4 linked regions of the Diceros bicornis minor genome follow. The main gene of each other region encodes a partner of the protein of the gene in region 3 in a complex. Links are inferred from orthologs where the notes say so. Each region holds a gene or a part of one and is shown on either strand. Other genes may lie near its edges.

Region 1 (7,317 bases), on a different chromosome or scaffold from region 3:
CCAGGGACCTGGAGAGGGAGTCCTGTGGTGAACCTAGTAGAGGAAGCCCCCACTGCCTTTTGCCCTCAATCTTGAGGTCCTCAGGGATGGACTCCTATTGGTCAGATCAGGGTTCCTATTCCCAGGCCCTGAGAGTAAACTAAGCCGTGAAGAAGAGGAAAATTCAGGGCTTCTGGGTGGCCCCCTTCCTTCTTGCAGGAGTCACAGCAAGAGGTTCCTCCCTTGCTCCTCCCCCCACACCTCCCTAGCTGCTGTCCAGACCGGAAGGGAGTCTCTTCCTGCATGTTTCCTGGAGCTAGGTTTGGATAGGAGCAGGAAAGCCCCCCCTCCTTGGGAGGAAAGAGTGTAGGGGTGTGGCCTTGGGGGAGGGCAGTCTGGGGGGGGGTGCAGATTAGTGAACAAAACAGTGGGGCTATCCAGATTCTTCCAGCTCTGCTGCCCAGAGCTGAGGGCCTGTGGGAATGGCAGAGACTCTGGGAAGGACACAGTCCCCAGTGGGATGGGGAGGAGACAGTATACAAAAAAGTGCTTTATTTTGAAGATTACAGAATTTGTGCCATGACCCCTCCCGGCTTCCATTTCCACCAATCCAAGGCTCTGTGGTGGGGGTGGGAGTGAGAGAAAGAGGTAGGGAGGGGAGGAGAGAGACCTGGTGGTGGCAGGGGAAAGGAGTAAGATGGCTGCTGAGAAGTTCATGCCACCCTAGGCCTGGGCTTCACTGTCTTTACTTCTCCACACCACAAGGGTGACAAGGAAGGGGATGAGGCAAATGGGGGCTATAATCATGGCCAGGAGCAGATCCTCTGGGGGGTCTGAGAACGTGGGCTGCACTAGGGAGCAGTTGGCAAAGTGGATCTGATGAGTCTCAAAGATGATCTGTTCTGCCCAAGGATTGGGGAAGCCCAGGCCAAACTCTTCTGCAGTCTGCTCCAAGCAATGTTGCAGGGCGCTATAAGGCCTGGGGGCAGGAGAGGACTAGAGTGAGGGAGAGGTTGGGTCCAGAGAAAGGGGTGACCCACACTCACTCAACATACACCCACAAGGAGCAGGCCCCGTCGCTGGCCCAAACCACCTCCAGCACTGCTCTTACCTGCTAATCATGGCCCAGTCACACCAATCTTTTTCGATAGTGTCCATATAAATCTTATAACGCTGCCAGCAAAGTTTGACATTTGTCTCATAGTTCTCCACCATTTTCCCTGTGGACACAGATGCTGCACATTGGCCACACCCCGCCCCTCCCTCCAGGCCCTCTGGTCCAGGTATTTCCACTGAGGAACCACTGTCCCTGTCTTCAAACATGGGAACTAGGAGGAGAGCCTCAGAAAGTTTCCCGAGCAAGACACTTATGGCTGAGGAGAGAGTCCTAGCTCAGGAAAATTTTAATGCCTTCCATGTGCACAGCTCTTCCCAGCCTGACAAGAGCTTCCATGTACACTTTTCCTGGGGTCTTCTAACCCACCTGTGAGGTGGGCCAGCCCAGAGCTGGGAGGAGGCTTTGTGGGAGGAGAGGGAGAAAGAGCACAAGGAACCCCAAGAGAGAACAGAGGGGGGTTTAGTGGGGTGCCAGTTGAGGTTGGGGCCTGCCTTGTGGGAAAGGGACCTCCCCACCGACCTGGCTCTCCTTCTTGCCCTAGGCCACCCTCCCACAGCTGCTGGGTACTCACCTTCCGACTCCAAGCTGCCCCTGGTGGGACAAAGCTGAGCCATGGACTCCTGGGGCTTCAGGACAGCTGTGGGCAGAAATGGGAGAGGGAGGTGGGATGGCGGGGATCTGGACAATGGAGCGTGGACGCGGGGTGGGAGGGTGGGGGCAGTGGGTTGGAGGCTGAGATCTTTGGAAGTCAGGGCTAGATAGAGAAAGAGGAATAATCCAGGCCCCCACGGGATGCCTCAGTGCAGGGAAGAGAGGAACTGGTATAGGCTCCTTCTCACTCTCATCCCGACCCCAAACCCCCTCCCTTCTCGCCAGCCCCAGACCTCCCAAGACCTCTCCGCGGGCCCCGGCACCCCAGCTTTCCCCAAGTGGGAAGCAGCTTGCGCTGCGCCCTCACTGCTGTGGGGCCAACGACCGTCCGAAGGACAGAGCCGTCTGCACTCGCACCCCGGGGCCCATTTCGGCCTCGGCCGTCCAGCCCCCCGCCCCTCCAGGGCCTCCCGCGCCTCCCGCCTGGGCCCCAGGGCGCTGCACTCACCGCCCAGCAGGAGGAGGAGGCGGAGCGCTGCCGGTCGCCCGGCGCGGGTCGCAGGCAGCCGCGGGCCGCCGGCGGTGCGCTCCGCCCGTAGCGAGGCCATCGCGCGGCGAGCAGGCGAGGAGGGGCGGCGGCGCGGAGCCGGGCCCGGGCGGGGGCGCCTATATCCCCGGCCGGAGCCGCAGGAAGCGCGCGGTTTCCTCGCAGGGGCTGGGACGGCTGCGGCCACGTGGGGGGCGGGGGCGACGCCCGGGGCCGGCGAGCTGGAGGGGGAGTCGCTGCCCCACCCGGTCCTGGCGCCCGCCGCTCCGTCCGCCGGGTCGGCGTCGGCGTTGGCCCACCCTTTCTTCTAGCTCACCCTACGGGGCTGGACAGCTCCCTTAGTAACCCCAGAACCGGGATCCATTTCCTGGGCTCGGCCTCGTGGCGCCCAGGACTCGCCAGGGTCTTGGAGCATCCGCTCCCTGGACTGTAGTCTCCCCTTCTCTTTCGCCGCGAGGTGGGAGGTGGGGAAGTGGGTAGCAGGCTGCTCTAGGGGACCTGGAGAAGAGGGAGGGGGCTGGGAGCTCAGAGGGCCTCTCAACGCCGCAGTATCTAAGACTGGGGGTTGGGGCTGTCCTGGGCCGTGGGGGAGGGGGCGCCTGGAGCTGAGCTCCGAGTTCCCTTTCCCTGGGAACACCCACTGATGTCACCCCGCCTGCCGAAACCGGGGAGGCGGAGAAGAGGGAGCCGGCCCTCCAGAATCGGGGGAAGACCTGGGGAAGGGATAGGGAAGAAATCAAAGTCGAAATACCCTCCCTTCGAGGCACCTCCTGGGGAACAGACCCACTAACCGGATCGAAGGGAGGGACAAAAGTAAGATTACTCCATTCCCAGGAAGAAGGTGGCCACACTCTTCAGGACCGAGAGGTTGTGAGAAAGGAGGGAGTTAGAACCTACAATGTGTGACTTAATTCATGGGGTGGGTACATTATTAGGCCCATTCTCCAGAGAAAGAAGTCAAAGCTCAAGGGAAAGAGCCCAGAGCTTGAGTTCAGAAACTCTGAGTCCTAATTCTGCCTTCCCACTCCACAACTATATAGCCTGGAATGACTTCAGTTACCTTATTCTCAGTTTCCTCCTGTGTAAAATAGGAACATTACCCTCCTCACTAAACTGTAGTGAGGATGATGTACATGAAAGGGCACTGCACTCACTTGGCAGATGCTAGTTTCCTTTCCTCCTTTCCTAAGGACTTGCCTGAGGTCACACTGCTGGGAAGCAGCAAGCCTGAGCTGGGGCCCCACTTCTGCCACACCACTGCTGTCTCTGTGTCCTGAGCCAGAGCTTCGTTAGACTGAAGCAGCCGAGGAGCCCAGGAGATGGTTTGGCTTGACGTTCAACTCTAGGCACAGCTGTCAGCACCAAACTTTCCTAAATTACTCCCAGACACTGACCCTTGGACTCAGCTGCTGCTGTTGTCCCAGTTTACTAATTCCTGCCCATCACAAATTATCTTTAATGGTCTCTCTTCAAATCTTTGTCTCAGGGTCTTAGGCTCTCATCATGGTGACTGATAACCTGTTGTCCTCCTCCATAGCTAGGGGCAAGAGGTTGCTTTAGCAAGGCACCCAGAGAGAGAAGAGAGATGGCTCACTTGGCATTAACCCCAAAGCCCTCCTGGTGAGGGTTGTCTTCTGCAATGTGCAGAAAAGAGTCAGGCAGCCTCAGAGCCACTTCAGGCCAGGGACAAAATTCATTCCTTCCCTCCTACCTGTGATTGCCCTTTCCAAGAAGGAAACATGGTCAAGAGGGAGATTTCTGGGTGATAAGATGGGAGAAGGAAGCAAGGAGGGGCAGAAAGCAAAACCAGCCATTTCCACTAGGCTGGGTCCAGAAGAACCTGAGCCCACTGTGGGTTAGAAGAACTGGGGGTGGGGTCAAGATCAAAGGTGACAAAAGCAAATGTTGGGTTTTAAATAGGACAGTATGACATCATTGGTAAAAACAAACATTGGTTAGGATTCTGAAGGCAGGTTCTGCCTCTGTCTTGCTGTGTAACCTGGGGCAGGCCATTTCACGTCTTTGGAGCTCAACATTTTCATGTATAAAATGACCTTAGAATCAAAAGGGAAGGGCTGGCCCCGTGGCTTAGCGGTTAAGTGCGCGGTTCGGATCCCGAGCACGCACCGACGCACCACTTCTCCGGCCATGCTGAGGTGGCGTCCCACATACAGCATCTAGAAGGATGTGCAACTATGACATACAACTATCTCCTGGGGCTTTGGGGAAAAAAAGGAGGAGGATTGGCAGTGGATGTTAGCTCAGAGCTGGTCTTCCTCAGAAAAAAGAGGAGGAGTAGCATGGGTGTTAGCTCAAGGTTGATCTTCCTTACAAAAAAAAAAAAAAAGAATCAAACGGGAAAATATAGATGACTTGATAGAAAGTGTTATTTTTAGCCTAGAGTTGTGGTTAAGCTTGCATCATGATGTGGAGACCTCCAAAGGAGAGCTTGTTGTAGTCATTCCTGAACTTGGGAGTCCAAACTCTCTCATTGGAGGAGAATCTGGGCATTTTCTCTCCTCCTGACTTTCCTCTTCCCACTTTTCCTTACCAGTTGGATGTTTGGCTATTTCATTGATCCCTCGGGGCATCCTGGTAACTGGGGGTCTGCTATGGTGGTCTCTTGGGGCTGAATGGAGACTAGAGACCTCATCTTGTTGCCATAGGAGATAGTCCCATGTTGTGCAGCAAGGTGACAGAGAAGGGCTTCATTAGGGACAGAGGCTGGTTGTTTTGTGGGAACTCTCATTTTCCACCCCTGAGACCCCTACTTTCCCTTTCTAAGCCGACTTCTTCTTTAAAATATATTCTTTTTGCTATAAAAATATACTTTTTAATTGCAAGTAATACATAAGTATATACTTGTTGCAAAATATTTAAATGCAGAAAACTTTATACTCCCATTCCTTTCTCACTCACCTCGCCACATATTTTGGACTTAAAAAAATAAAACCATAAATGGGATTTAATATTCCTGTTGTTCAGTGATTTCTTTTTTTTACTTAATAATACGTCTTGGGTATCTTCCCATGGTACTGTGTTTAGATGCGCCTCTTTCCTTTTAACTGTAGTATAATATTGTCTTTAGTCTTTTTTTCTTATATCCAGTGGAGTTTAATCTTTAAGTTCCCTACACACTCCCTTATTCCTCTTTCCCTACCCCACTCCCACCTCTAGTGCTTGGGAAGAGAGGATCTGGTGCTGGTCCAGCTAGACATTGACTTGAGATTTCTGGCCCCAACCTAGAACTGACTTCTCCTGGGTAGGGGTCTTATGGCCATGTAAATTTCCCTCCTTATTATGGGCCAAGGGCCATCCTACTTGGAGCAGGGGGAGAGGTGACTCGATCCTTACAAGGAGTGCCGTTTCTAATCCTCAGACTTTCCCCTACACACACATATAAATCCAGAGAAACCTAGGGGGAAGTAAAAAGCCCTGGGGGCCTCCTACACAATAAAATTACATGCAGAGCATCCTGGAATTAGCATCTCTACGGGTGTAGAGACATTCACTCATGCTGGCCTCTCCCCAGCTGTCTGCAAAATAAAGAGCAGAGCACAGGAGAGGCCGTGGGGGAGAGTCAGGGTCAGGGAAGCCAGAAGTCCTGGCTGGGAGGGGCTGATGCTTGCAAGCTGGACAGAGGAGACAGACTTCTTCAGAGGGAGGCAGCAGGGAGAATCAGAAGAGCTGCAACCAGGAAACCAGCTGGCTAAGGGAGGGAAGACTAAGGGGTAAGGACACAACTCCTTCATCTCTCCCTAGCCTCCTCATCTCCAGAATGATGGCACACTTGGTATGAGGAGCACGACCACCTCTCAGAGGGAAGAATGGTCATTGGAGAAAACTTTGGCTCTCAAGTTAGCAAAAGGCAGAGAAAATGGTCAAGCCAGATTCCTCTTCAATTGCTATGAACTTAGTAGTAGCTACCACTTATTGAAAAGTTGTTATGTGCTGCATAGTGTGTTCCCCGACACATATGTGGAGTGCTTTTCATGCATTTCTTAAAACCTTACCATAACATCAGAATTGTCTTGTCCATGGGTGAAATGGGGAAATAGGAGTGATTTGCCTAAGGTCCCAGAGGTAGTAATTGGGAGTGAGAATTTGAACCCAGGACTGCTTGATAGTAAGCTTCATGTCTTCTTCTTCTTCTTTTTTTTTTTTTTTGTGCAGAAGATCAGCCCCAAGCTAACATTCATCCTCCTCTTTTTGCTGAGGAAGACTGGCCCTGAGCTAACATCCATGCCCATCTTCCTCCACTTTATGTGGGACGCCGCCACAGAATGGCCTGACAAGCAGTGCATCGGTGCGTGCCCGGGATCTGAACTCAGGCCGCCAGTAGCGGAGCGTGCACACTTAACCGCTACGCCACGCGGCCAACCCCTCGGCCAACCCCTAAGCTTCATGTCTTATTTTTTTTATTTATTTATTTATTTATTTTTTTGTGTGTGTGAGGAAGATCAGCCCTGAGCTAACATCCATGCTAATCCTGCTCTTTTTGCTGAGGAAGACCGGCTCTGAGCTAACATCTATTGCCAATCCTCCTCCTTTTTTTCCCCCCCCTAAAGCCCCAGTAGATAGTTGTATGTCATAGTTGCACATCCTTCTAGTTGCTGTATGTGGAACGCGGCCTCAGCATGGCCGGAGAAGCAGTGCGTCGGTGCGCGCCCGGGATCCGAACCCGGGCCACCAGTATTGGAGCGCACACTTAACCGCTAAGCCACGGGGCCGGCCCGAAGCTTCATGTCTTAACCATTATGATTTATCACCTCCCTCTCACTTCACATCAGGATATTGATTCCTTGCTGGGTCTTGAAATTTGGAGAGAAGGATAGAGTGTTTCTTGCAGGACCAGATTGACCCCTCCAGAAATAAGAAGATCCTGCTTCACCCAACTACATGCACACAACCTCCTCCCACCTCCTTCCCTGACCCAGGCTGGACCATGACATCACGTGGTGGAGGCTGTTTTTCTGAAAAGGACCCAGGCCAGATTTATAAGAACGACGTTCAGACAGCGTGACTGAAGAGGACTGTGGCCAAGTGACCACAGCACACACCCAGCAGTACTGAGAACACTGCT
Region 2 (7,941 bases), on a different chromosome or scaffold from region 3:
GGTTCCCACCTACGCTCCCTTGGTTTTCAGTAGAGGAGATGATCCTTGATAATGTGGGTGGGGCCTCATCCAGTCAGTAGAAAGGCCTTAACGGTAAGTTCAGAAATCCTGCCTCAAGGCTGCAGCATCAGCTCCGCCCTGGAGTTTCCAGCCTGCTGGCCTGCCCTACAGACTTTGGACTTGCCAGACCCCACCATCATGTGAGCCAATTCCTTAAAATAAGTATCATTAGACATAGCCCTTCCCGACGCCAAAGCTAAAGAGGAATTCACCCACATTTTCTTCTGCGCTTGCATGGCCTCATTGGTTATGTCTAAATCCCTGGTATAAATACATGTGTGTGTACACACAGTCATGTGCAGCATAATGATGTTTCTGTCCACCACGGACCGCATGTACGATGGTGGTGCCATAAGATCAGTACCACGTAGCCCAGGTCACACCATCTGGGTTTGTGTAAGTGCACTCTATGATGTTCACACAACGACAAAATCACCTACCGATGCATTTCTCAGAACGTGTTCCCGTCCTTAAGCAATGCATGACTGTACACATATCCTGGCTTCTAAATACCATTCTTCAATAAAAGGAACCAGGGCTCCTTGGTGAAATGGCTGATTCCAGGGCTGGGGCCAAAAATGTACAAGATGAGCCCGGAACATCTCCTGGTACCAGAAAGTAAGGAAGTGCTCAAAGAAGGATGGGGGCAGGTCAAAAGGACACAAAAGCCAGCTGGAAGGTGTTCTAATGGCCAAAGCGGGGACAATTTAAGGCCCCTTGTGATTATGTTGGACTCACTCTGATAATCCGGGATAATGTCCTCATCTCAAGGTCACCTGAGCAACTTTAGTTCCACCTGCAATTTACTTCCCCTTTGCCATGCCACGTAACATATTCCCAGGATCCAGGATCAGGATGTGGCCGTATCTAGGAGCCGTGATTCTGCTGACCACAGACCCCGGGGCTGGCAGGCCCAGCTGACCTGCTGAGATGCTGTTATGATGAGGACTTTTGCTTCTTCCTCCCTCAATTATCTCGATTTTCTTTCTTTTTTTTTTTTTTATGAGGAAGATCGGCCCTGAGCTAACATCTGCCAATCCTCCTCTTTTTGCTGAGGAAGACTGGCCCGGGGCTAACATCTGTGCCCATCTTCCTCTACTTTATATGGGACGCTGCCACAGCATGGCTTGACAAGCGGTGCGTTGGTGTGTGCCGGGGATCTGAACCGGTGAGCCCCGGGCTGCCGCAGCGGAGTGCGAGCACTTAACCACTGTCGCCACCGGGCTGGCCCCTCGATTTTCTTTTTAAATAAAAGAAATTTCCTAGCAACCTCACCCCCCGCCCCCTGCTTCTATTTCCAGCTGTGTCACCAGGCGGCCCTGACAACGGTAAACTGTGGCAAACCCTCAGTGGCAGGAGTGGTAGTTACTTCCGTGTGCACTCTAGGCACTGTCGGAAACCGGCTGCAGTGGCTTCCATTCCTAGTAACGTGTTACCACTGCTTCTTTCAGAACATCACATGGCATTACCCTGCCATCTTCTGCGAGGCCACCAGTTTGGAATCCACCTACACAAGTCCATGATGGCTTACACAGAGCATGGGAGAGAGTGCTTTTCTCCAGGGACCCCCACTGTGTCTTCCCTGGATTGTAATAACATGAAATCTTTCATTTAAGCACAAATCACTCAGCTGAGTGATTTGAGCCCAGAGAACAGGCTGTTCTGATTTTTAACAACCTGTCCCCACTCGATTTCTTACTCATGATTAATTTCTCAGCCTAGAAAATGAGACCCTGATGGCTTGGAAGCGGCAGAGAACGGATGAGGATCAGGAGACCTGCCTCTCCTCTTTCCCGCCCTGCCTTTCCTCTTTCCTGCCCCAGGCCCTGGAGGAAAGTGCCCTCTCTGGGTGGACGCCAGGAGAGGGAAGCAAGCAGCACCACCGTGCCCCGCTCCTGTGTGTGGTAAACCGAGGCGCAGGTCTTTGCAGGAAGGATATCATAGCGCCCGTGGTAACCGCGCACGCTGAGGATCCCGTGTGCATGGCAGGGTCAGCCGCCAGCCTGTGATCTCAGCGTTTTGGGGTATTTCTTGTTTCCTTTACTTGCCCACTGGAGCTCCCGGATGCCCCCATGCCCTGCACACTGAAGCAGAAACACAGACTAGAACATCGATGGCAAACATGCCAAGTTCTGATCCCTGCTCCAGAAGCCCGGGGTGCCTGGGGCCTGAGAGGCTGAGGGAGGCAGCTGGTGAACCCCGGGGGGTGGGAAGAAGGGCATTTTGGCAGAAGGACTGAGTCACAAAGGCGAAGGGGCTCAGCACCAGCTGTTGTCCATGGGGAGCCTCGGGCCACCCCTCCGGTGACAGCCTGCCCCATGGTTCCAGGAAGCTCTGAGCCCGGAACAGGGTGGGAAGGATAGCCTTGGCCTGACCACAGGGACCGAGGGAACAAGCAGGACATCGTTGCAAGCTGGGGCTCCTGTTACAGAGACTTGGCCGCTCAGCCGCCCCTGGGCACCAGACTCTGCCCTCCCTTGTCCCCCAGACACCTGCCCATGGGCCACAGGCATCTCAGACTGGACACGGCCCAGATGGGACCCTCTCTCTCCTGCCCCCTCATGGATCCCTGAGTCCACCTTGGCCCCAGGCCATCATGGACATGGCCTCCTCCCACCCCCTCACTGTCCACACCCAACTGTCACCGGCACCTCCCTTTGTCCTCAGTCTGTCCCCTGTCATGGCTACATCCCGTCACCCCGGACTGCAGTGAAGAACCCCTCACCGTGGCCTCCAATGGAATCCTCTCACCAGGCCCTGTGGCCCCAAGGCTCCCCCACAGCCACGTCCCTCCCATCAGGGGACACTCACTTGATGGTCTTGCCCCAGTCACACCACAGCGTCTTCCCGATGGCCTCCATGTCCACCTTGAACCGGGCGAGGCAGAACTCCTGGAGGAGGGTGCCGTAGTCTGCGTGCTGGCAGGCCATGGCCATGAAGAGCTGATGCACTGCAATGACAGCGCCCAGGGACTGTCACCCTCCGCCCTTGCTGGGGCCCCCGCCCAACCCTCCCCTGCCTTCCCTGTGGGCTGGGGGCTCCCATCCCAGGGCCCTTGTGAAGGCCCATATCCACTGTGTCTGAATATTTACCAGTTATCAACTCAGGTGACAAACCGTGACATGGAATGTGTTCCACCCTCCCACCTTCATAAATATATGAGGTAAAAATTATTGGTCAAGCAATGCATTGCACACTCAAAATTCACTCATTTCCCCCAAGCCCACGACTGGCTCTAGTGGAGGCTGGGCAGGCAGGGAAGCTTCTCCCATGGTCCCCTACCCACTAGGCCGCCTCTTCTTCAGGCTGAACATCCACTTTCTTCACCTCTCTATGGGTAGGGTGCAGGGGGTGTGGTCCTTTGCATTCTCTGTTCAGAGTCTGGCTGCTGGCCCACCTACTGCCCCCCAGGCTATGCTGGGTCCTCTGCCCAGCCCCACCCCTACCAGCAGGGCCCTTCCAAATTCCTGGAAGGAGCCTGGAGCTGGGAAGCCAGGGCTGTGCTGGGAATTCTTGGACTCCTCGTTGGGCGTCATGGACACGTGGGGACACCCAGTGCCCCTTACAGCCCTCAGGCCAGGGGAGACCACAGGGCAGTGGGTGAAATGGACACCCAGGGATAGGCCAGCCGCCCTCAGGGCAGGAAGATAGGGAGGGGGGTTCTGGGGTCTTTGTCTCTGAAACATAGCCTAGAGAGGGGTGTGCACTCATGTGGGCACACCCTTGGCGCCAAGAACTCTTGCCCCCTCTGCCTCTGTCTCCTGTAAAATGCAGAGGAATTGGTATTCCAGTCCCTGTGATGTACGGGCACTGCCCGAGGCTCTTCACCACACATGGCTACCTTGGAGGTGGGTCCTACCTATTATGATCATCAACTTATAGATAGGGAAACTGAGGCTTTGAGGCTCAGAAATGGGCCTGAGGTCCCAGCACCAGAAGAGATGTAGGCTAGACTGAAGCTGCCTCACCTCCCTTGGCCCTGAACCCAGCCAGCTCCCGGTCCTGTGAGGCTCAGGACCAGGTGGGAAGCTGGGAAGTGCAGCAGAGGGCACACCTGAGCAAGGGGGCATGTCAGGAAGGGCTAGGGGAGGGGTGAGGTGTCACAGAGTAGGGTGATGACAAGGAGCCGTGAAGCACCATTCCAGAGTGCAACTCCAGGGGGCTCAATGACTAATTACTGGATATGTGGGTGGGTGGATGGGTGGGTGGGTAGATGGATCAATGGATGGGTGGGTGTATGGAAGCATGGGTGAGTGAGTGAGTGGATGGATGGATGGATGGGTGGGTGGGTAGATGGATGGATGGGTAGGTAGATGGATGGATGCATGGGTGGGTAGATGGATGGATGAATGGGTGGGTAGGTGAGTGGATGGTTAGGGTGGTGGATGGGTGGGTGTATGGAAGCATGGGTGAGTGAGTGAGTGGATGGATGGATGGATGGGTGGGTGGGTAGATGGATGGATGGGTAGGTAGATGGATGGATGCATGGGTGGGTAGATGGATGGATGAATGGGTGGGTAGGTGAGTGGATGGTTAGGGTGGTGGATGGGTGGGTGGATGGATGAATTCCACACACTGCACACCAGGGCTCTGACCTGGCTCTGCCAGAACAGAGTACTGATGGGAAGCTGAAGCCCCGGACAGCGCAGAGGTGACGACTGGCTCACAGAGTGAGGTATGTCGCATTGGGAGGGGAACAGGTAAAGAGTGGCCTTGGTTACAGGTAACCAAGCCGACTGGCTGCCTTAAACAAAAGTGAAAGACAGATAGACACTGGGGACCTGCAGGCATCCATGGAGGGCCAGGAGTGTGGGTCGGGCACAAAGGCCACCTGCAGCAAGCCAGGAACATGGGCAGTGTGGCCCTGAAGTCGCCCCCAGGTACACTCTCCCTGTGCCCCTCCATGGTTCCCAGGAGAGGGAGCTGGTGTGAGACTGCCCACCTCTGCCAGGGCCTGTGTTTCCGAGACCCGTGGGTTCCACTAGAATGTGAGATGGGCGCGGGTGGGCTAACAAGTTCATTTGACTGATTTAAGTGACAGGCTCCAGGCTGCACACATCTTGACAAGATTGGCCAAAGCAAGGAAAGCGACATTCATAGCAATGGAACACACCTCTGTGTTCAATTAAAAACAAAAACACAAACAAGACACACAATGAACAGAGGTGAGGCCTGGCAGCAGAAGTTTGAAGAAAGCCTCGGACTGTGACCTGACTGCAGGTGAGCTGCAGCCATCCTGTGCCCACTGCCCTGCATGGTGCCCTGCAGGCAAGGCTGTCCACTAGGGCAGGGCACCTTACTGCCGGGTGAGGCAGCAAGGACTCCTGGGGTTTTTAGCCCAAGAGGCTGGGGAGTAATGGTGGGTGGGGGACAGGCAGAGATGAAAGGGTCCTCTTCCTGAGGAGAGGAGCAGGCAAGACTGTCCCTGCCCAGACGCCCTGGGAAGGAGCCCCCCTACTGGAGTATGGGGCCATGGGGGGGCCGCTGGTCCCTTATCTCTGGGCTACACCTGCCCCTGGGAGAGCTCGGAGGGCAGAGCACATCCCTCTGGCCCTCAGGGGGGTGCTCAGGAGGCTGGGGAGTGAGATCTGGTCCCTGCCCCCAGGAGCCTCCGCACCCACCTTGGTTCATGCCACTTCCCAACAGCCCAGGTGTGTCCCCTGCAGGGTCCACACAGGCACAGTGAGTGCACCCGTAGGACCAGCTGTGGGAGACTCTCTACCCTGGAGGCTTCTTCTGCCCACTGTCAGGCAGGCCCAGGGAATGGGCTACTCCTGACACCTGCCCCATCAGGACGCCCCTAAGAAAGCCCACCTGCCAGACAGGTGAAGCGCCAGGGGCTCACGGGTAGTTCAGGAAGGCTCAGATACCGGCTCCCGCAAGGGATTCCAAGCTGCCCGTCCAGCCTCATTTCGAGGGTCGTCCCTCCGTTTGTCCCCACTCCCTCACTGCTCCAGCACCCGTCCTGCCTCCCCATTGGGAATGCCTTCCCCCAGCAAACCCCACGCCCAAATGCGCCTGTCCTCCTCCATTGTCGCCTCCTCCTCCTCTGAGGCCCCAGCTGCCCCCCGCCCACCTCCTCAGCGCCTTGGGTAGGGCAGGTAGGAGGTTTCTTTCTTTTCTGGGAACAGTCTTGGTTGCCCTCTCATCTCCCACTCCTTTCTGACTCATGTGCACATCCTCCCCGGCACCCAGCCCTCTGTGCATCAGTATTTGTCAAATGAATGAACGAACGAACGAGACGGCGCCCCCCAGCCTTATCAGTGGACATACTGTGTGGGAACGAAGCTAGAATGCCTTGGACTGTCCCAGAGAGGGTCAGGAAGCACGGTGGGGCCCCTCCTCTTCTGGAAGGGTTGGTTTTAGGGCAAACGAAGACGCATGTGCACCTCAGCGAGGGCTCTTGGCTGCCCGCAACAGAAACCCACCCGGGCTGACCTAAGCACTGCAGGAACCTGTTACAAGGACGCTGGGTGGCTCCCAAGTCCGCTGAGGGCCAGGGAAGTGGGGGCTGCATAACTGTCCAGCAGAGCCAGATGTTGCCTCCTCTGGTGGGGTCCCCAAGAGGGGAAGTGCTGGTGCGGGGGGCCAGAAGGAGTGCCACCAGGCCCTCCATCTGGTTGGAATGAGCTCTGAGGGGGAAGGCCCCAGACCATAATTCCTCCTATTAAGGTGTCCCTCCCTGGTGTATTCAGGTCAACCTCCTGCTGTCCTCTGGGCTATGGAAGACAGCCGCCTGCCCCCACCCTGCTGCCTTGGGCCCTCAGTGGCCACCATGTCCTGTAGCCTCAGAGATCACGCTGGAACAAGGCTGGCTCTAGCTCCCACTGTCTGTGCAACTCCTGCCCTGGGCTGGCTGCAGGGCCTACCCCCTGGCCTTGACCCTGGCCTGGCTCTGGGCTGCATCTCTCACCTCTCTCTGAACCACCCTCTGCCTCCCAAGGGTGAGACCTGTGGTGGCCAGTCCCACCGACCCCCTGTCCATTCTTTCCTGCCCTGGGAGAGCCCAGAGCCACGGCCGTTCTCTCTGCCAGTTCCTACAACTGGGACGAGGCCCGGCAAGCTGTTCGGGTGGATCTGGAAACCAGCTTCCTTTTTCAGGTACAGGAGAACAACACTGACATTTTCCTTAAACGAGCCTGATGTGGTTTCTTTCACTGGAAACAGAGGCAACATTACAGTTTCAAAAACTGAATGAAATTGCCCCAAATTTTAACACCAGCTGTTTGGGGCCACATGGGTTCCATTTCCGCGTGACTGCAAATGTAATCATTCACAGCTTGTGTCTTTCAAAGGCTGCATGCGGAGGCTGCGAGCAGACGGCACTCCTTCCTCGGCGTGCTGGGACAGGAACCGTCCCTGGCGCGGTGCATCACTTAGGAATTCCATGTTCCTTTGGGGGGAACCGGCTCCCCTCTCTCCACAGCAGGAAGACACCCCCGACATGAGCATACATGGTGGCCACACAAAGGCAGAAAGGAGCCCTCAGGCAAAGAGACCCGGACCAGACAGGGCAGCAGGGCTCCCCACGGGTCCCCTGTGCTCTGCCACTAGGGCCGCAGGGCAGCTGCCTTGAGGCCCTTGGTATTTGGGTTTTCTAACGAGATGAGGGTCTGGAGAGATGAGGGCCCAGAGTGTGAACCTCAGGGTCTCCTTTTATGCCGCCCTTGCTCTGTGCCTGCATGTCTGGCATGAAGAGCCCAGCCTGCTGCGGCTGCTTTCTTGTTTGAGAGAGAGAAGCGCAGACCCCACATGGTCCTCCCGGAGCTGCAGTGGGGGCGGCTGGGGTGGTGGGTGTGAGGGGAGCCAGAGGAGGGGCAGCCCTGGGAAGGACAGGGCTGGGGGTTAAAAATAGAGCCCCCCTGCGGTGCCATGAACTGG
Region 3 (7,660 bases):
TATGTTTATGGTTTAAAACCTTCTCTGAATCCTAAACAAAGATAAGGAATAAAGCCAATGACTTCAAATAATGTTCTTTGAATATATTTGTTTTCTGAAAAGTTGACACCATAATCATGATATCTCTAAAAACAGAATTATTTTTTCAAGCACCATTCAAAGTCATACATAAGAGTATGAAATATTTTTTTAGTGAATGTATATTTTGATCCTTTAAAAATTATTTTGTTAATTTTTCTATAAAGGTCTCTCAGGTAATTCTTAAAAACTCAGTTACTATCAAATTTTAACCATGGAGATAAAAATTAAAAGCAAAATATTGTTATAATGGTTACAAAAATGATGTAAGTTAGAAATATATAATACTATTAACTAACGTCTGATTAGTTTTTGTGTGTTTATCAAAGAATTTTTCCATATTAACATAAAGCATATAAGGTAATCTTTTTTATCTTAATATTGTTTTGAAGGTGTTATTGAAATGAATTTTTTACACATCAAACAATACTATAATATATACTGGTGAATGTGAAGGTTCTCATCAGTATGCTAGGGTGTTCACTCCTTTGAAACCTCATTATATCCTAGGCGTCATTGGTGAGTCAAGTACATACACCTCGGACATTTATTTAACATAATTTTAAAAATTACAGACCCAATTCTAATTTCTTTTTATTTTTCTGTTATTCCAATTTTTTCAACCTGAATGAATAGTTGTATATATTCTAAAAATTTACATATTTTAACTAATAAAATAGTATTTTGGCATGTGCTAAGACATATTAGGAGAAAAAGACATTGTAGCAATAACCAAAAGCATATTTCTTAAAGATAACTGAATATTACAGGTAAAACATATTTCAGCTTACATTATTCATGAAATTTCTCAATTCTGTGTTTCATTTTACATGTTTAGAACTGGCTTTAGACTCTGTGCATTGATTTTATGATCCCATAGGGTAACAACATCTAGAAAAAAAATTCTAAGCATGCACTGATACTCTGATATTCTCTTATCATTAAAGAATACAAACTTTAGAATATAATATGAATTCTTATTTCAAACTTTCAAATATGACTTTGCCTAATCACCCTCAAAATTCATTGTCTAGTGTTTTTCAACAGTATTTTTTGAAAATAAAGATTATAAACCATACTATTAGTACAGTTATAAAAATTTAATTAAATTATGCAAGAAAATTTTGAGTTTTTGGCTAGCAATTAAATAAAACTTAGAGAAGTTTGGGGAGTTCCTTATTATAACGTATGATATTAATTTGATATTAACTTAATACCATACCTCCTTCTAAAAAATAATCTAAATTAAAAATCATGCTATTTTAATTTTTGTTACTAACCCATGGCATTGGGTTAGGCATTTAATGTGTTCTTTCCCTTTCCTCCTCTAAAAACACTTTTCCCATTTCTACACATGCATCAGGAAACTCAATACATTTAATGATTGAAAGGAGACTGGAAATCAGCTACAACATTTGTAAAGAATCACAAAAATAAGACTTAATTGAAATTTCCATTATTTGGAGAAATTTGTGGAAAAATTGAGTAGAAAATTATGAAGGAGTTACTCAGAATGAGTTTGTAGTCCACTGCTAATGTGCCAGATTATGGGTGATTAAGCACAGGATTTCTCCGTTGAAGGATATTTTGCAGATGATAATTTCATTTAGGTAAGAAAATACATATAAATTATGTCAATCAATATAATTCGAACTCAAATCTGACATCTAATTTTTCTCGGCAACTGATTTGTGATATCTCTATACCAACAACGTCTTAAAGAGACACTAGTTTCTTAAATTGCCCAGGACAGTCTGTACTGTTGAAAGAAGCGTTAACAGATGTTTCATCTCAACATTTCAGTAAATTTTATCCTGGAAATTCTTTTTTTTTTAAAAAATACCCACTTTAATTTCTCTGTTTAATAATCTGATATACTTATTTGGGAAAATTTTGTTGTTTTTCTTTATCCACAGTTATCTCAATATCACACCCTCCTTCCAAAAGTGTGCAGAGGCATACCAGACAAATTGAAGTAACACATTCTATTAGCTGAAGAGTTTTGAAGTTGGAGTTAATATAGAAATCTCAACATTTTCTCAACCCTAGCTGTTTTTTTCCCTTTGTAGCCCACCCCATGATCCAATACAGCAGAAACAGTTCAGGGTTAGCAAGAGAGAGACTTAAACACATCTGGCAACAACGAACAATGAAAATTCCATTAGTTCAATAGTAAGAGATATATGTGTAAATAGAGGCAAAATGCAAATAGAAGACAAATGTAATAAATCCTAAGTGTTTACTTTTCTTTTAATTCTCCATTGTGTTCAACTACAGAGCCAGTGAGACTCTGAGACCCCATAAATAGTTATTCTTTCATCCCTTTCACAGAGTACTGATTATATGGAAAGTTTAAAAACCCTTCCTAGGGGAAAAAAATGTTTTCCAGCTGTCAAAATTCAATCCTAGCTAATAGTAGCTAATTTTAAAAGGCATTGCTCCTTGATTTTGTTTTTATTTATTCAGAAGCATGCTTTTAATCCATTTAGATTTTTATTACTCGCTAAATTTATTTTCTAGAATATCACTGTACATAATATTATCTCATAGTAACAGATTTTGTATACATCTTGGGGTAATACACTCTAGTTTCTTTAACATGTGAAACAAATGAAAATACGTTTCAACATCATTTCAACGTCATCAATTAAATTCTATAGTAGAAACGTCAAACTACATGAGAATACTACTCAGAATAAATATATTTATTTTGAGTAATGTACTTACCCAGCACAGCTCCTAAGGAAATTCTTGGTGCAATATTCTTAGGATGGAATCTGATTTTCTGAGATTCCGCAGGAGAGATTTACCCCCAGGCAAGGTGGGGAAGAGTGAGAGCCTTGCGAGGTATCCTGCAGGCAGGGTGAGGTCCAGTTAGCAGAGCTTGATGATCCTAAAGCAGGAGTGACACTCTGCTGGAGAGAGAGGGTTGTTCTGAGTAGATTGGAAGTGTTGTCACATTGTATGTGCTCAGCAGCAGAAGGGAAACATCAGAGCTTCCTGTTACATCACTCTGACCCCGCCTGCAGTTAGTGTTAGGTTACTTTCTTTCTCAAATAGCATACCCCAGGAAAGCAGCACTCCTTTCTTATTCCGAGACAAGAGCAAGAAGCAGCCTGAACAGACAGAGATCATAAGCTGTATGAATACATTGTTAGCAGCAAAAGCTGGCTGGATTTCACCTTGACTGAGTTCTGTTAGAACTTGCCAAACAGAGCTGCCTGTGATTTAAAGGAAATCTGAATATAATATTCTGCTCAGAGAGTTAAAGGAGTTAAGGGAGTGTGTGTGTGCGTGCATGTGTGTGTATTGAATTATACTTTACAAAGCATCGAGGAAATTTTTTATCTAACGTGTCTATCTTCATAAATGCATACAGAAAAATAATAACTGCATCCATCATTATTAATTCTATGATCCAACTCTTATTTTGGGGGGGCTCTGATAATCAGAGCTGTTCCTTGATCTGTTTTCCACAGTTAAATGACGAAACTTTATCCTGTAGGTTTTTAAACTTTTTTTACTCTGTTCATTACATAAGTATGTGTATATGTGTCATAAACAAAACCTTTGTGTGTGTGTGTGTTGTGTGTATACATATACATATATGTAGAATTATTTTTCATTATCTATAAGTATACGTATTAGAGAAAATAACCTTTTGCGAATATATTCATAAATTTAAAATAATTGCACATATTTTTAAATATTTGACTTAATTATGCTATCACCTATGAAATAAGAAAGTAATTTATACTACAACATTTATATCTCAAAGTAGCCTTAACAAAAATGCAGGTAATTTATAAACATAATATTATGAAACAATGTAAAATATGTAACATACTTTAATATTTTAGAAAAAGTTTTGTCTCAAAACACAATTTTATTCTAAATGTGTTTAATGAATCATTGGAGATTATCTGGGAAGAAAGTTTTAAATTTGAAATGCGCTTGTCTTTTGATAGGAACGTAAATGTGTGAGATACAGCAATAATTATAATTGCTGAAACCTAAATAGCACTGAAAGTCACTTAATTTATCTGGGTATCAATTTTCTCATCTGTAAACCAGAAGAGATGGATCAAATAACATCTAAAATCTCTCCTATCTCTAAGACTTTACATCAAGAAATTACGTAACATTTAGAAATAGATAAGATATTGTGATGATTATTCAATTCTTAGTGAATCTGAGATCAGAGGCGCTGAGAAACTGGTAGTTATTGCAATTCAGGAACAAAAGGAGATCCTCAGTCTTTGTAGACTAACAGAGGAAGACAAGGCAACATAAATTAAAGGGATATCATGTTTCTGAAGCAGTATGCTCCTGTTGACATTTTTATTACCTGGATCCATGGAAGAAACTTATTGCACAATCTTTGATATTAAGATCAATAGGATCAAGGTCAATAAAAATACATACATTTAAAAAATAAGGTACTTACCAATCTCTATCAGTTGTCGTTAAAAGACTTGTAAGAAACTGTGTTATACCTATTTGGTTATCAGGAGATAGAAAATAACCAGAGGAGTTAAATTGCCAGGTTATAGAATATTGTATTTCCAGTTGTGGCTTGGTTTTGTTTTGCTTTGGGAGGCGGCTGAGATGTACTTCATTTTGAGCTATTTCCTTCAGCCCATGAGAAGAAAAGTCGATGTTGCAGAGTATGGCTGGCTCCACAAACAGTGGTTCTTTAATCAGATATTCCCAGGTGAAAGCTATATTGAATTCTGCTGTGGAGGAAGCACACTGCCCAGGGAACCACTAAGAAAGAAGTAGAAAGCACTGGGATTGGACCAAGAGACGTGAAATTCAAGTCCTGGTTCTGCTACTTTCTAGTGTGACCTCTGGCAAAACTTTTTATGTCTTGGTGTGTTCATTTTAAAATTTAGAGCAGAATCAAATACTAGATTTTAATATCTGCATGATCACTATGTCTTCTCATCGCCTATGTTTGGTGTAATATCTAACTCCTAGAAAGAGATCACTCTACAGCTTTGAATTTGTTATGAAAAACTAAAACTTTTCCCAATAAGTTTGCAAAAGCATTAATGTTTTTTTCCCAAAGATTCATTGATTTCATTTACAGTAGTAAAGTCTAGTGAATGAAAACGTCTATGCTTTGAACTTATGTCATAAGACTCTTAAATCAGTGCTCTTTCTCCTCTACTATACGTCAAGTGCTATACTAAATGGGAAGGCTACTAGAGGTTATAGTGTTTATATTTAAATTATTGGTCAGGCACATGGTTATAGTCCATGAAGACTCTTGGATAATTTTTATCAGTATCATCTATAAGCCTTATTTAGAAATAACAAGCAAACCACGTCCCACTAATCAGATCCTTAAGAGTTGCCATTTCATAAACTCCAGGTGAAATAAATGGCTTGAAGACTTCCAGGAAGCCACTTTGGGTACAGAAGGACAAGTGAAAAGATGGATAATGCAAACTTCTCAAGTACACACTGAAGCATGACGACAAGTATTTGGAAAAATGCAGCAGAACAAAATGAAAATATTTCAGTAATCACTGAAGTGATTCTTAGCCAGTGTGGCATTAATCAATACATTAATTCAGCATTACGTATTTCATATATATATATATATATATATATAAATCTTTTCCCAGAACAGATTAACGACACTGGTTAATCGTTTAATAAGTAGGGATCGAGCCTATATTCTGAGATGGATACTGTGCTAGTTGTATTGGAGAGTTATGGAAAAATAGGATGTGTCCTGCTATCTAGTTGTTTACAGCACAGATTGACTAGCACATGAGGAATCAAGTGCCAAATTCTCTGCAATTAGCAACTAATCCTGCCAACACAGAATCTAGATGTAACCATGCAGAACACTGTCGATAAGATTTACTACAGAACTGAGGAATGATGTATAAATGAAGAATGACAGATATAATGATAAATAGTCATACTTGTCTATTTCAGAATCCTACACACAGGATTGTGCCCACATTTGTTGTCCCATGTAAGGCTCACAAGCACTGTAGTCCCCTAGTAACGAGTACCGATTACCATGGGAAATGCACTTTGACTCACACTCAGGAGGAGACTAACTCAAAATCTCTGGATTACTGTTTATATTATTCGACTAAGTTAATCAAATTAGACAAAAAATGTGGTTTGACCAGTTTAGTTCTCTACAGGCTGGACTGACCACTCATTTTGAATTCATGTGGCTACTGCCTTGGAGCACAGTTCTGCCACAAAAACAAACAAAACACTTTTACATGAAACATTACGGGCAGATGGTCCCTGGTGAGAGTGCAAGGAAGAACTTTAAAAATGATTTCTACAAAGTTTTTCGGGTGTTGTGTTGTGAGTTAATAATTCCTCTGTGTCTCAATTGTCTGAAAGTCATCACTTACACTCGGAGATAATTTATGCAGTCAACAAGATTATGTATATCATGCTTTATTAAAAATGCACCAATAATTTGAGGAGAAACATAATTTTTGTAATCTTGACATCAAAAAATTCTAGTAATGAAATAAGTTGACCCGAACTTTTATTATTTTACCTAGCAATTGCTTAGCATATTCAAATTATTTCATTTCTAAATGAATTGCATTTAGTAAAAGGACCAGGATCCAATGGCTGGACCACTGTGAGTGAGTATGCTATTTTCTATTATTAAAATCAAAGGGCTGATTTTTCACTCTGTGTGCACAATTTATCATCTTGAGGGAAATCATAATGTTTGTCATAATGTAAAAGAATTTTAAAATATTTGCAATGCATATGAATTTGAAAAGAGCAGAAAACTTTAAATTTGAAATGAGTAACATTACATCAGGTCCATGTATAGATAAACAGAACTATTTTACTAGCCTATAAATATTATTTCTTTTAGTATTTTATAATGTGTTTCCCCAAGAGAGTCAAGCAACATATCAAAAACAATTGGCTAAAAATCTGCCTACTATTTTTGTTGATTCTTATTAAGTTCTGATGGACTGGATCTTCCAAGGAACTCAACATTTTCTTACGGATATTCACGAGTGTTTGAGCGTCTCCTCCCCAAAAGGGGTAACTGTTCCTAGAATAAAGAGCTAGTTCTAGCAAATGCCATAGATGATGGACTAATTAAAAATGAATTTTTTAATACAGCAAGATTGTAAATGCTCACTTAAATGAGGGTACAAAATGAACTTCTTCAAGGTTAACACCCTTAATTAGGGTGATCATATGGCCAAGCTTGCTAGGACAGTCCCAGTTTTATATTTCCACACTGGAAAGTGTCCTAGTTTAGATGAAAAATTATATACAGTCATCCTAGCCATACTTATCCATACTGCATTGACAAGTGGACATAAATACTGAGAGTGAGTGAATAATTCATTTGGGAAATTGGAATCTTCTTTCCCACAGAGTTTAAAGTAATTCTTTCTACTTTTAGGATAGTGTTAGCTGGCATCGAAAAAGATGCTCTTTTCATCTCTGGATATGTATTTATTGTGAATTTATTTTGATATGTTTTTTATTTGCTAAATATCAATCTTCATTTTTAAAATAAAGAGTTTATTTTACTTTGTGTTTATACGTGTTGACCTAAGTA
Region 4 (7,143 bases), on a different chromosome or scaffold from region 3:
CTCCTGGAAAGCCTGCTCTCGGGGCAAGCCTGCTCCAGCCTCCTGTTGTCCCTATGCCTGGTCCCATTGAGTCCTCATGCTACGCAGGGTGGGGGTCAGGGACCCTGTTGCCTATGGAGGCTTCCCTCTTGTTTGGCCATCCCCAACCCCTGAGGTGGTGGTGGTTCTGACTTAATTGACATCTTTGGGCTGGGAGATCTTGCCCCCACCCCAGCCCCACCCTGCTCTGGGGGATGGGAAGGGGCATTCTGCTCTGCCCTGCCCTGCCCCAGACGGGCCCCTGGCTCCTGAACCCCTATGCCCCCTCCCCAGCTGCTCACAGGGATCCAGGCAGGAGTCTCCACTGCAACCTTGGGCCCAGGCTCCAGGGTTAGCAGCTAGGGTAGCACAGTTCCCAGCACGGCCCGTCCTCCCTCATCCTAGCCCAGGGGCTACAGTAGGTTCCTCCTCCCTGCTGCCCTCCCAGTCCCAAGGGTACAGGAGAGGCAGAGGCTGGGGACCTGCAGCAGGCAAATCATGCACACCCAAAGCCGGGCTTTAATCCGATGATGTCAGGACCAGCAGGGAAGGGGCCATGCTGGGCCAACTTGGCCCCTCTCTCCTGCTGGGCCAGAAGTGGTCCTGGGCGGTCAGCACCCTGGCTTCTGCTTCACATCCTCGGGCAGACCTCTCCCCTCTGAAGCCGTTTTCAGTATCTGATGCTTCTGGCCACCTCTGCTTGGCACCTGTCCCCTGAGTGTGCACACTCCCAGGGTGTGCAGACCCCTGGTGTACAGACTCTGTCCACGGATCTGCCTGGGTCTACGTGTGTGCATGGGTTTACACGTCCAAAGCCATTTGAGGTCAGCTGCCGCAGGACGTGGGGTGGGGTGGGGGTCCCCTCAGGGGCCTGCACCACTGTTCCAGTCACTGTCATCTTCAGGAGCTCCAGGGGGCTGGGCTGGGGCTGGGGGCTTAGCTGCAGCTCTGGGCTTGGGGTGCAGCATCCCTGCTGGGACAGGCAGGGGTATGGCCTGCCCCTCCTCAGCCATAGCTGTGGGGGCTGCTGGGGTCCACGGGGGCTGAGTCCCGTGGGCCGGCCGACCCGACCAGCTGCCATAGGCGATGGCTAAGGTTCTGTACTTGGCAGGTGCCCAGCACACAGCCTACCCGCAGGAGCTGGGCTTGGGGCCTGCGGGGGCCCAAGTGTCGGCGGGGGCCATCCCGGAGAGGCTGACCCATAGCGGAGGCCAGGCTGGCACTCCTCTGTGGCTGGAAGGCCTGGCGTAGCTTCCAGACCGCAGGCTGGGGTGCAGGGTGCCAGGGCTGCAGGCCACTGGAAGGGTTCCGGGCTGGGGGCTCCCTGCAGAGGGAGATGAAGGAAGTAAACCAGATGGCCCAACCTTGGGGGGACCCCCAAACCCACTCACTTTCCCCTCCACACAGGCCTAGGGTCATTGCCAGGGGAAGCCCATGGCTCCCCCAACAGCCTGGAGCACTGCCAGGGGAAGCCCACAGCCCCCTCACCAGTTCGCAGCAGACCAGGGGAAGCCCACAGCCCCCACACCACTACCCAGCAGACCAGGGGAAGCCCACAGCCCCCACACCAGTACCCAGCAGATCAGGGGAAGCCCACAGCCCCCACACCAGTACCCAGCAGATCAGGGGAAGCCCACAGCCCCTCTACCACTCCCCTCACACACACACATACACCCAGCCTGGAGCACTGCCAAGGGAAGCCCACCTCCCTCTTGGGGTCAGGGCTTGGGTCCTAGCCCTCAGCCATCTCAGTAGACCAGGTCACATGTCCATTCACCTGCAACTCCCTGGGTAAAGGACACCCCTGGCCTCTATGGGTCACTCTGCTCAGGACCAGAGAGAGGCCCCATCAGCCCTTCCCTTTCGGTGGGGGAGGTGACCCCTCCAGCCCCCTCTCTCCTAGCTGATCTCTCCTGTTGAGGGGTCTGCTCTAACAGTGGGGGAAGCGGGTGCCCCAGGAAAAGAGGAAAAGAAAGAGGGGCCTCTTGCCCTGCTCAGAGGTTGCTGAAGGCACGGAGGCTGGTCTTTGATTTCGGAGGTAAGCACTAGCAGCAGGCGGGAGGCCCGGGGGTGGGGGGCCTGGGGAGGGCTGCGGGCAGAGGGGACCTCCCTGGGCATTCTGGTCTTCTGCCTTGCAGGCCAGGGGTCAGGCTGGTCTGAGCCCCACTCACCTCGGTCTGGCGGGCCGCCGGGACAGCGTGCCCGGGAGCTGCAGGTAGAGGAGGCTGATGCAACCGAGGGTGACGGTCAGGAGCCGGGCCATGGCGGGCGGGGCTGGAGGGGGCGTGAGCCGGCAGGTGTGGGGCGGCCCTAGCCCAAGCCACCTTTCTGCCCTCACCTTGGGGAGCCCTCCGCGGTGGGCGCCGCGCGCAGGTTGTACCTGCGTCCTTCGGGGTGCGGGGCGCGGGCGAGAAGCGGGCGAGAGTCTGCGGACTGTGGGCCAGGCGGGCGAGGGCGAGGCCTCCGCGGTCAGATCGCTGTCGGGGTCCAACTGGGGATGGAGCCTCGGCTCCACCGAGCTAAATAGTCCCTCCTGAGGAGGCGGGGCCGACGCGCGGCTGGGCGGGGCGCCCTCCCCGGCCCCCAACCCAGCCCTGCCGCGGGTGGACTGCAGCCCGGCCGGCTGCACGGCGCTCCGCTGAGGTTCAGTGTCCCGCGTCCTGGGGGCCCCAACCTGTCCGGGTGAGGGGGTGGGTGCTGGGGGCTGTAGCAGCCGGGCGGTCCCGCCTGCCACCTCTCTGACCCGCAAATGTCGGCCCGGGGCCCTGGCCAGTATCTCTTCTGGGGAGGGTTCCTCACGAGGCGATCTCGAGACCCCTCCTCAAGATCCCCTAGCAGCTGTATTCCTAAGCATCTCTACCTTTTTTCTCCCATTATCGGAGTATAAATGGTTTTTGTAAGAAATTTAAATAAGTAAAAAGTGAGACCCCGCATTGCCTCTCCCAGATCTGCGCGGGCGCCGCGTTCCTGTCTCCCGTGTACGCTGGAGACACGCGAGGGGCGTCCTGTGTGTGTACTGCATGTATTACATAAACACATATATGCTTATATAGGTAAGAATCTACGTAATCATAGAGCCCTCCATTCTTTCTTATGCTTGGCTGACTCCAGTATGTAAGTGTTTTGTGACTGACTTAATTGATCCTTTATTAATGAGCAATTAGGCGATTTCCAGCCTTCCAAGAGTAAGAACCCGTCTGCTGTGAGCTCGCAGATGTCTCTCTACAGGATACTTTCCCAGAAGTGGAAATTCTGGTTGAGGGTGAGCCTGTGTTTGTGTCAACAGGTAGTGTCAAATTGTTCTCCACAAAGCTTGCACCAATCCACTGTCAGCGGATGACAGACTTCGTGTCAGTAGTTCCTTGCTTCTTTGTCAATCTGAGAGGGGACAGTTATCCTGTCGCCCCACTTAGTGGACATTTCCTGGATCATCTGGGCATCTCTGTGTCCATTTGTATTTCCTCTTCTGCCTAACCCTGCCCAGTCTTGCTCCCTCTGTCAGGTCATCCCGGGTGACCTGGCCACTCTCCTGTCGCACACGCCATGGGAGCTCAATAAACATTTGCTGGATGAATAAATCAACAAGTGTTGAAAGCATGCCATACTCAAGAGCTTGGTTTACATCCTGAGGAAGGTGGGGAAGCATTGGCAGATACTCCTGTTTCTGTTTGTTTATTTATTTTTACCAGTGGGGGGAGGAGGGAGAGTGACGTGACCACATTTATATCAGAAAAGTGGGGTTCAGGAGGGAGGGGATGCTGCGGGGCTGGCAGGAGGCGTGCCATGGGGACAGAGTGGACGGCTCAGAGGGAAACTGAGCTGGGTAGGGAGGCAGAGCAGGGTCAGCCCTTCTGTTTGCTGATGCAAGGAGCTGCTGGAGAGAGCCAGGAGGGGTTGGCTGCCTGGGGGACATCCTGGCAGAGGTGTCTGGCCAGGTTCCAGCCTCGTGGGCCTGCGGCTGAAGAGATGGCAGACTTGGAACACAGTTTTGGGAGTTTCAGAGATGGCAAGGCTCTGGGAGGCGAGAGGTGAGGTGAGCACCGCCCACAGAGTGCAGAGAGAGGAAAGAACCCACATGCCAGGTCTGAAGGAACAAGTAGGGCAGGGGGTGCGCAGAGGACACAGAGGCAGGACCGATTCTGCAGCTGCTTCTCCTCTCTCCAGCCTCCCTACACCTCCCCTCAATCTGTCTTCCACACTGCTGCCAGTGCCACGTTCCAAAACACAAATGTGATCATGTTACTCACGCCACCAATAAAGGAAAAATAAATCAAAATTCCCTGTGTCCATGAGGTTTTTAATCCGGGACACGTGGAGGTGAGCCTCAGGGAGCCTCAGGGAGGTTCGAGGCCCGTGGCTCACTACATTCTTTCTTTCGGAACACTTGCTGCCACCGTGGGCCTGTGGTCCCACCTCCCTGGTTGCCCGTGGGCGGGATGTCCTCTGGTCCTCAGGCTTAAGCCTGGCTGCTTATTTTGCCCCTGCCCCTCCTGACTGGATTAGGGGCCCCCTCTGTGGTCCCACAGGCCCCTGAACAGCACCTCTCGTGGCGCTTGTCTGTAACTGTCCATGTACCCTTCAAGGGGAAACTCAAGGATTTCCTTCATGTATCTTCAGTTGGAGAAGCTGCTTCTAGGTGGTGATGGGCTGGCTGCCGGGAACGGCTCACAAGAAATAGACCAGAGGTTGGCTGGTGAGAGGGACCAGGCCACAGGAGGCAGGCGGTGCTGGTGATGTTGGAGGAATGCTTTAGAGAAATCCTTGTGGGGCAAGAAAAGCTAGGTGTCAACTGGTGGGGCAAACAGCATCCAGGGAGGTTTTGCTTGAGTGTTTTAAGGTGGGAGTAGTTGAGTTTTCTTTTTTTGTGTGTGTGAGAAAGATCAGCCCTGAGCTAACATCCATGCTAATCCTCCTCTTTTTGCTGAGGAAGACTGGCTCTGAGCTAACATCTATTGCCAATCCTCCTCCTTTTTTTCCCCAAAGCCCCAGTAGATAGTTGTGTGTCATAGTTGCACATCCTTCTAGTTGCTGTATGTGAGACCCTGCCTCAGCATGGCCGGAGAAGGGGTGCGTCGGTGCGCGCCTGGGATCTGAACCCCAGGCCACCAGTAGCGGAGCGCATGCACTTAACCTCTAAGCCATGAGGCCAGCCCGGAGAGGTTGAGTTTAATCCTGATGGCAAGGGTCCCTCAATAGGGAAAGAGTGAGGATGGGGGTGTTGATAGGAAACAGCAAGAGGTGGGGAGGAGGTCGGGCGGGGCGGAGCCTCGATGGTAATTGTGGAGGGAGGAGGTAGAGTGTGAGGGAGGTGGGCTTGGAGTTTGGTGGTGCAACACGAGGCCTTCCATTGGATGGCTTCTGTTTTCTCTGTGAAGCTGTGGGGTCATCTCTGAGACACAGGAGGTGGGGTCAGAGGTTAGAGGATACTGCAGACGGGAGGAGAGCTGACCAGACGTCAGCAGGCTGGGTGGTGAGGGGAGCTTCCATCTCGGTTTGCCTGATGAGAACACTGAAAACAAAGCCAGAGAGGTGGGGGCCGACGACATGGGCTGGATGACAGGCGATGGGAGCCACGATGGGTGGGGGTAAAAGGACAGAAGGAGGAAGCCAAGAGGCCAGGGGACCCAGGAGAGTCATTCACTGCTGGGAGGAGAGGAGGCACTGGGAGTGGCACAGTCCCCAGAAGGGGAGGAAGCAGGTAGGTGTGAGCACCTCGGAGGGTGACCTGGGCAGTGTAGTGGGCAGGGAACTCAATGGCAAGAAACTCGAGTGGGGGCTATCATGGTCTAGAAGGGATCCCAAACCTCCCCTTGACCCTAAGGCACTTCCAGAGAGCTGCAAGGAATGGGATCCTTAGGGCATGAGGGTGGGGGAGGTGGGGTGCAGGGTCCCCACAGTTTCTGGGGGAGAGCCAGTCCTGGGCTCAGGTGCCAGGCCAGAGGACTGGCCAGGGACACTGCCGGCCCATGCTCAAGCTCAATGGTGTGGTAATGCGGCGGGGAGGACCTTTCGGGTGTAAGTGATAGAAACCAACCCAGGACACCAGGGGCAAAAAGGAAGGTTTCTCAGCCTGTGTACCCAGCAGCCAATAGAAGCAGAGGAGGCTGTGGCTAGGCCTGCCCCCGGGGGCAGGGAGGGGAGCCTGGCAAGGTCTCTCCCTCAGCTTTTGTCTCTGGGTTCAGTTTCATTCATTCTCTTGGGCTGGCTCCTGCAAGGGGACGGAACATGGCTGTCAGCAGTTTGTTTCTTCGTCGGTTCTTGCAGCAGCCAAACTCTAAACACAAACCCAACCCTGCCACCCTCCCTCCCAGCATGTCAGTGGGGCAACCTGAGGCTCCTCCACCTCCCAAGCTCCTCTCCTAGGTGTTCTGTCTCAGGCTCTGTGTCCCCTTTGCCCATCCCTGTGCCACTGCAGGGGAGGCCCTGGCCGGCGCTGTCCTTGAGGGTGGGCATTGTCAGGGATCCTGCCTTCTCCCAAGCAGCGCACCAGGGCTCTTTACAGCGGGACATGCAGCGCGCCTTTTTTCATGGACATGTGTTGAATGTGTCACCCACCTAGATGGGGCTTCCAAGCGTGCTGGGAACCCCAAGGGCAGGGCCTGGGTAGTCCCCCATCGCCAAGCTGGCAGCCCTGAGTTTGGAGACCCGAGGGCAGGGCCGGGCCCTCTTGCCTTCCTCCAGACTGACAGCGCTAGGGGAGAGCCCAGGGCCCCGCCCCGACCGCTCTGCGCCCGCGCGTGGGAGCCCCGAGCTCGAGGCCAGCTCCGACCGCGGCCGTGCCTGTCGCTGACCCGTCCGGGCCGCCGTCGCTGTCACCTCCCTGGGGGCGGCGCCCCGGCCCGGAGCGGGAGGAGATGGGCGGGGCCCCGCCCCCGGGAAGCGAGCCCGGGCCGCTGGACCAATGGGTGCGGGCCGTCCCGGGCCCCGCCCACGGGGAGGGTGGGGCGGTGCCGCGCAGGCGCACGGCGCGGCCGGGCGGGCCGGCTGGCTGGGAAGATGGCGGCGGGAGCCCTGGCCACGGCGGAGGAGCGGGCCCGGGGTGTCCGGGGTGCGCGGGCCGGGGCCAGGGTCGGGCCATGAGCGCCCCACCCTCGCGTCGCCGAGCCGCGAAGCCCGCCCGCGCCC

The links.
Region 1: the proteins of CALCRL (region 3) and RAMP2 are in contact, whole or in part, in a crystal structure (PDB 3AQF), measured with the Homo sapiens proteins. The link is inferred for Diceros bicornis minor from reciprocal best matches to the Homo sapiens genes CALCRL and RAMP2. Residues at the interface, in NP_001258680.1 of Homo sapiens: Arg38, Asn39, Ile41, Met42, Thr43, Gln45, Tyr46, Glu47, Tyr49, Gln50, Lys51, Ile52, Met53, Gln54, Trp69, Asp70, Gly71, Arg119; in NP_005845.2 of Homo sapiens: Trp86, Ile89, Tyr93, Ser94, Arg97, Leu109, Gly110, Pro112, Glu117, Ile120, Phe121, His124, Gln125, Phe128, Ala129, Cys131, Ser132, Leu133, Val134.
Region 2: the proteins of CALCRL (region 3) and RAMP1 are in contact, whole or in part, in a cryo-EM structure (PDB 6E3Y), measured with the Homo sapiens proteins. The link is inferred for Diceros bicornis minor from reciprocal best matches to the Homo sapiens genes CALCRL and RAMP1. Residues at the interface, in NP_001258680.1 of Homo sapiens: Asn39, Met42, Thr43, Gln45, Tyr46, Glu47, Tyr49, Gln50, Lys51, Ile52, Met53, Gln54, Thr68, Trp69, Asp70, Gly71, Arg113, Arg119, Thr120, Phe228, Leu231, Ile235, Thr239, Val243, Ala244, Gln250, Trp254, Tyr255, Leu258, Phe262; in NP_005846.1 of Homo sapiens: Trp59, Ile63, Tyr66, Arg67, Ala70, Phe83, Trp84, Pro85, Asp90, Phe93, Leu94, His97, Gly98, Phe101, Arg102, Cys104, Pro105, Ile106, Ser107, Gly108, Arg109, Ala110, Val111, Arg112, Asp113, Pro114, Ile118, Leu119, Phe122, Ile123.
Region 4: the proteins of CALCRL (region 3) and ADM2 are in contact, whole or in part, in a cryo-EM structure (PDB 6UVA), measured with the Homo sapiens proteins. The link is inferred for Diceros bicornis minor from reciprocal best matches to the Homo sapiens genes CALCRL and ADM2. Residues at the interface, in NP_001258680.1 of Homo sapiens: Val36, Thr37, Lys40, Asp70, Gly71, Trp72, Asp90, Tyr91, Phe92, Gln93, Asp94, Phe95, Asp96, Pro97, Ser98, His114, Ala116, Ser117, Thr120, Trp121, Thr122, Tyr124, Thr125, Asn128, Thr131, Lys134, Val135, Ala138, Leu139, Leu141; in NP_001240774.1 of Homo sapiens: Leu106, Arg107, Val108, Gly109, Cys110, Val111, Leu112, Gly113, Thr114, Cys115, Gln116, Val117, Gln118, Asn119, Leu120, Ser121, His122, Arg123, Leu124, Trp125, Gln126, Leu127, Met128, Gly129, Pro130, Ala131, Gly132, Arg133, Gln134, Asp135.

What each region holds. Positions count from the first base shown.
Region 1 is NC_080757.1:41,784,088-41,791,404, reverse strand, and holds RAMP2 (receptor activity-modifying protein 2), read right to left. Parts: upstream 2,766-7,317; 5' UTR 2,296-2,765; coding exon 2,196-2,295; intron 1,734-2,195; coding exon 1,668-1,733; intron 1,200-1,667; coding exon 1,091-1,199; intron 959-1,090; coding exon 703-958; 3' UTR 517-702; downstream 1-516. UniProt on the Homo sapiens protein: Accessory protein that interacts with and modulates the function of G-protein coupled receptors including calcitonin gene-related peptide type 1 receptor (CALCRL) and calcitonin receptor (CALCR). Required for the transport of CALCRL to the plasma membrane.
Region 2 is NC_080776.1:25,333,362-25,341,302, reverse strand, and holds the start of RAMP1 (receptor activity-modifying protein 1), read right to left. Parts: upstream 3,015-7,941; 5' UTR 2,997-3,014; coding exon 2,872-2,996; intron 1-2,871. UniProt on the Homo sapiens protein: Accessory protein that interacts with and modulates the function of G-protein coupled receptors including calcitonin gene-related peptide type 1 receptor (CALCRL) and calcitonin receptor (CALCR). Required for the transport of CALCRL to the plasma membrane.
Region 3 is NC_080749.1:66,686,162-66,693,821, forward strand, and holds the start of CALCRL (calcitonin gene-related peptide type 1 receptor), read right to left. Parts: upstream 3,001-7,660; 5' UTR 2,806-3,000; intron 1-2,805. UniProt on the Homo sapiens protein: G protein-coupled receptor which specificity is determined by its interaction with receptor-activity-modifying proteins (RAMPs). Together with RAMP1, form the receptor complex for calcitonin-gene-related peptides CALCA/CGRP1 and CALCB/CGRP2.
Region 4 is NC_080764.1:328,043-335,185, forward strand, and holds ADM2 (protein ADM2), read right to left. Parts: upstream 2,467-7,143; 5' UTR 2,282-2,466; coding exon 2,190-2,281; intron 1,343-2,189; coding exon 1,024-1,342; 3' UTR 515-1,023; downstream 1-514. UniProt on the Homo sapiens protein: Intermedin/ADM2 is a peptide hormone that plays a role as physiological regulator of gastrointestinal and cardiovascular bioactivities mediated by the CALCRL-RAMPs receptor complexes.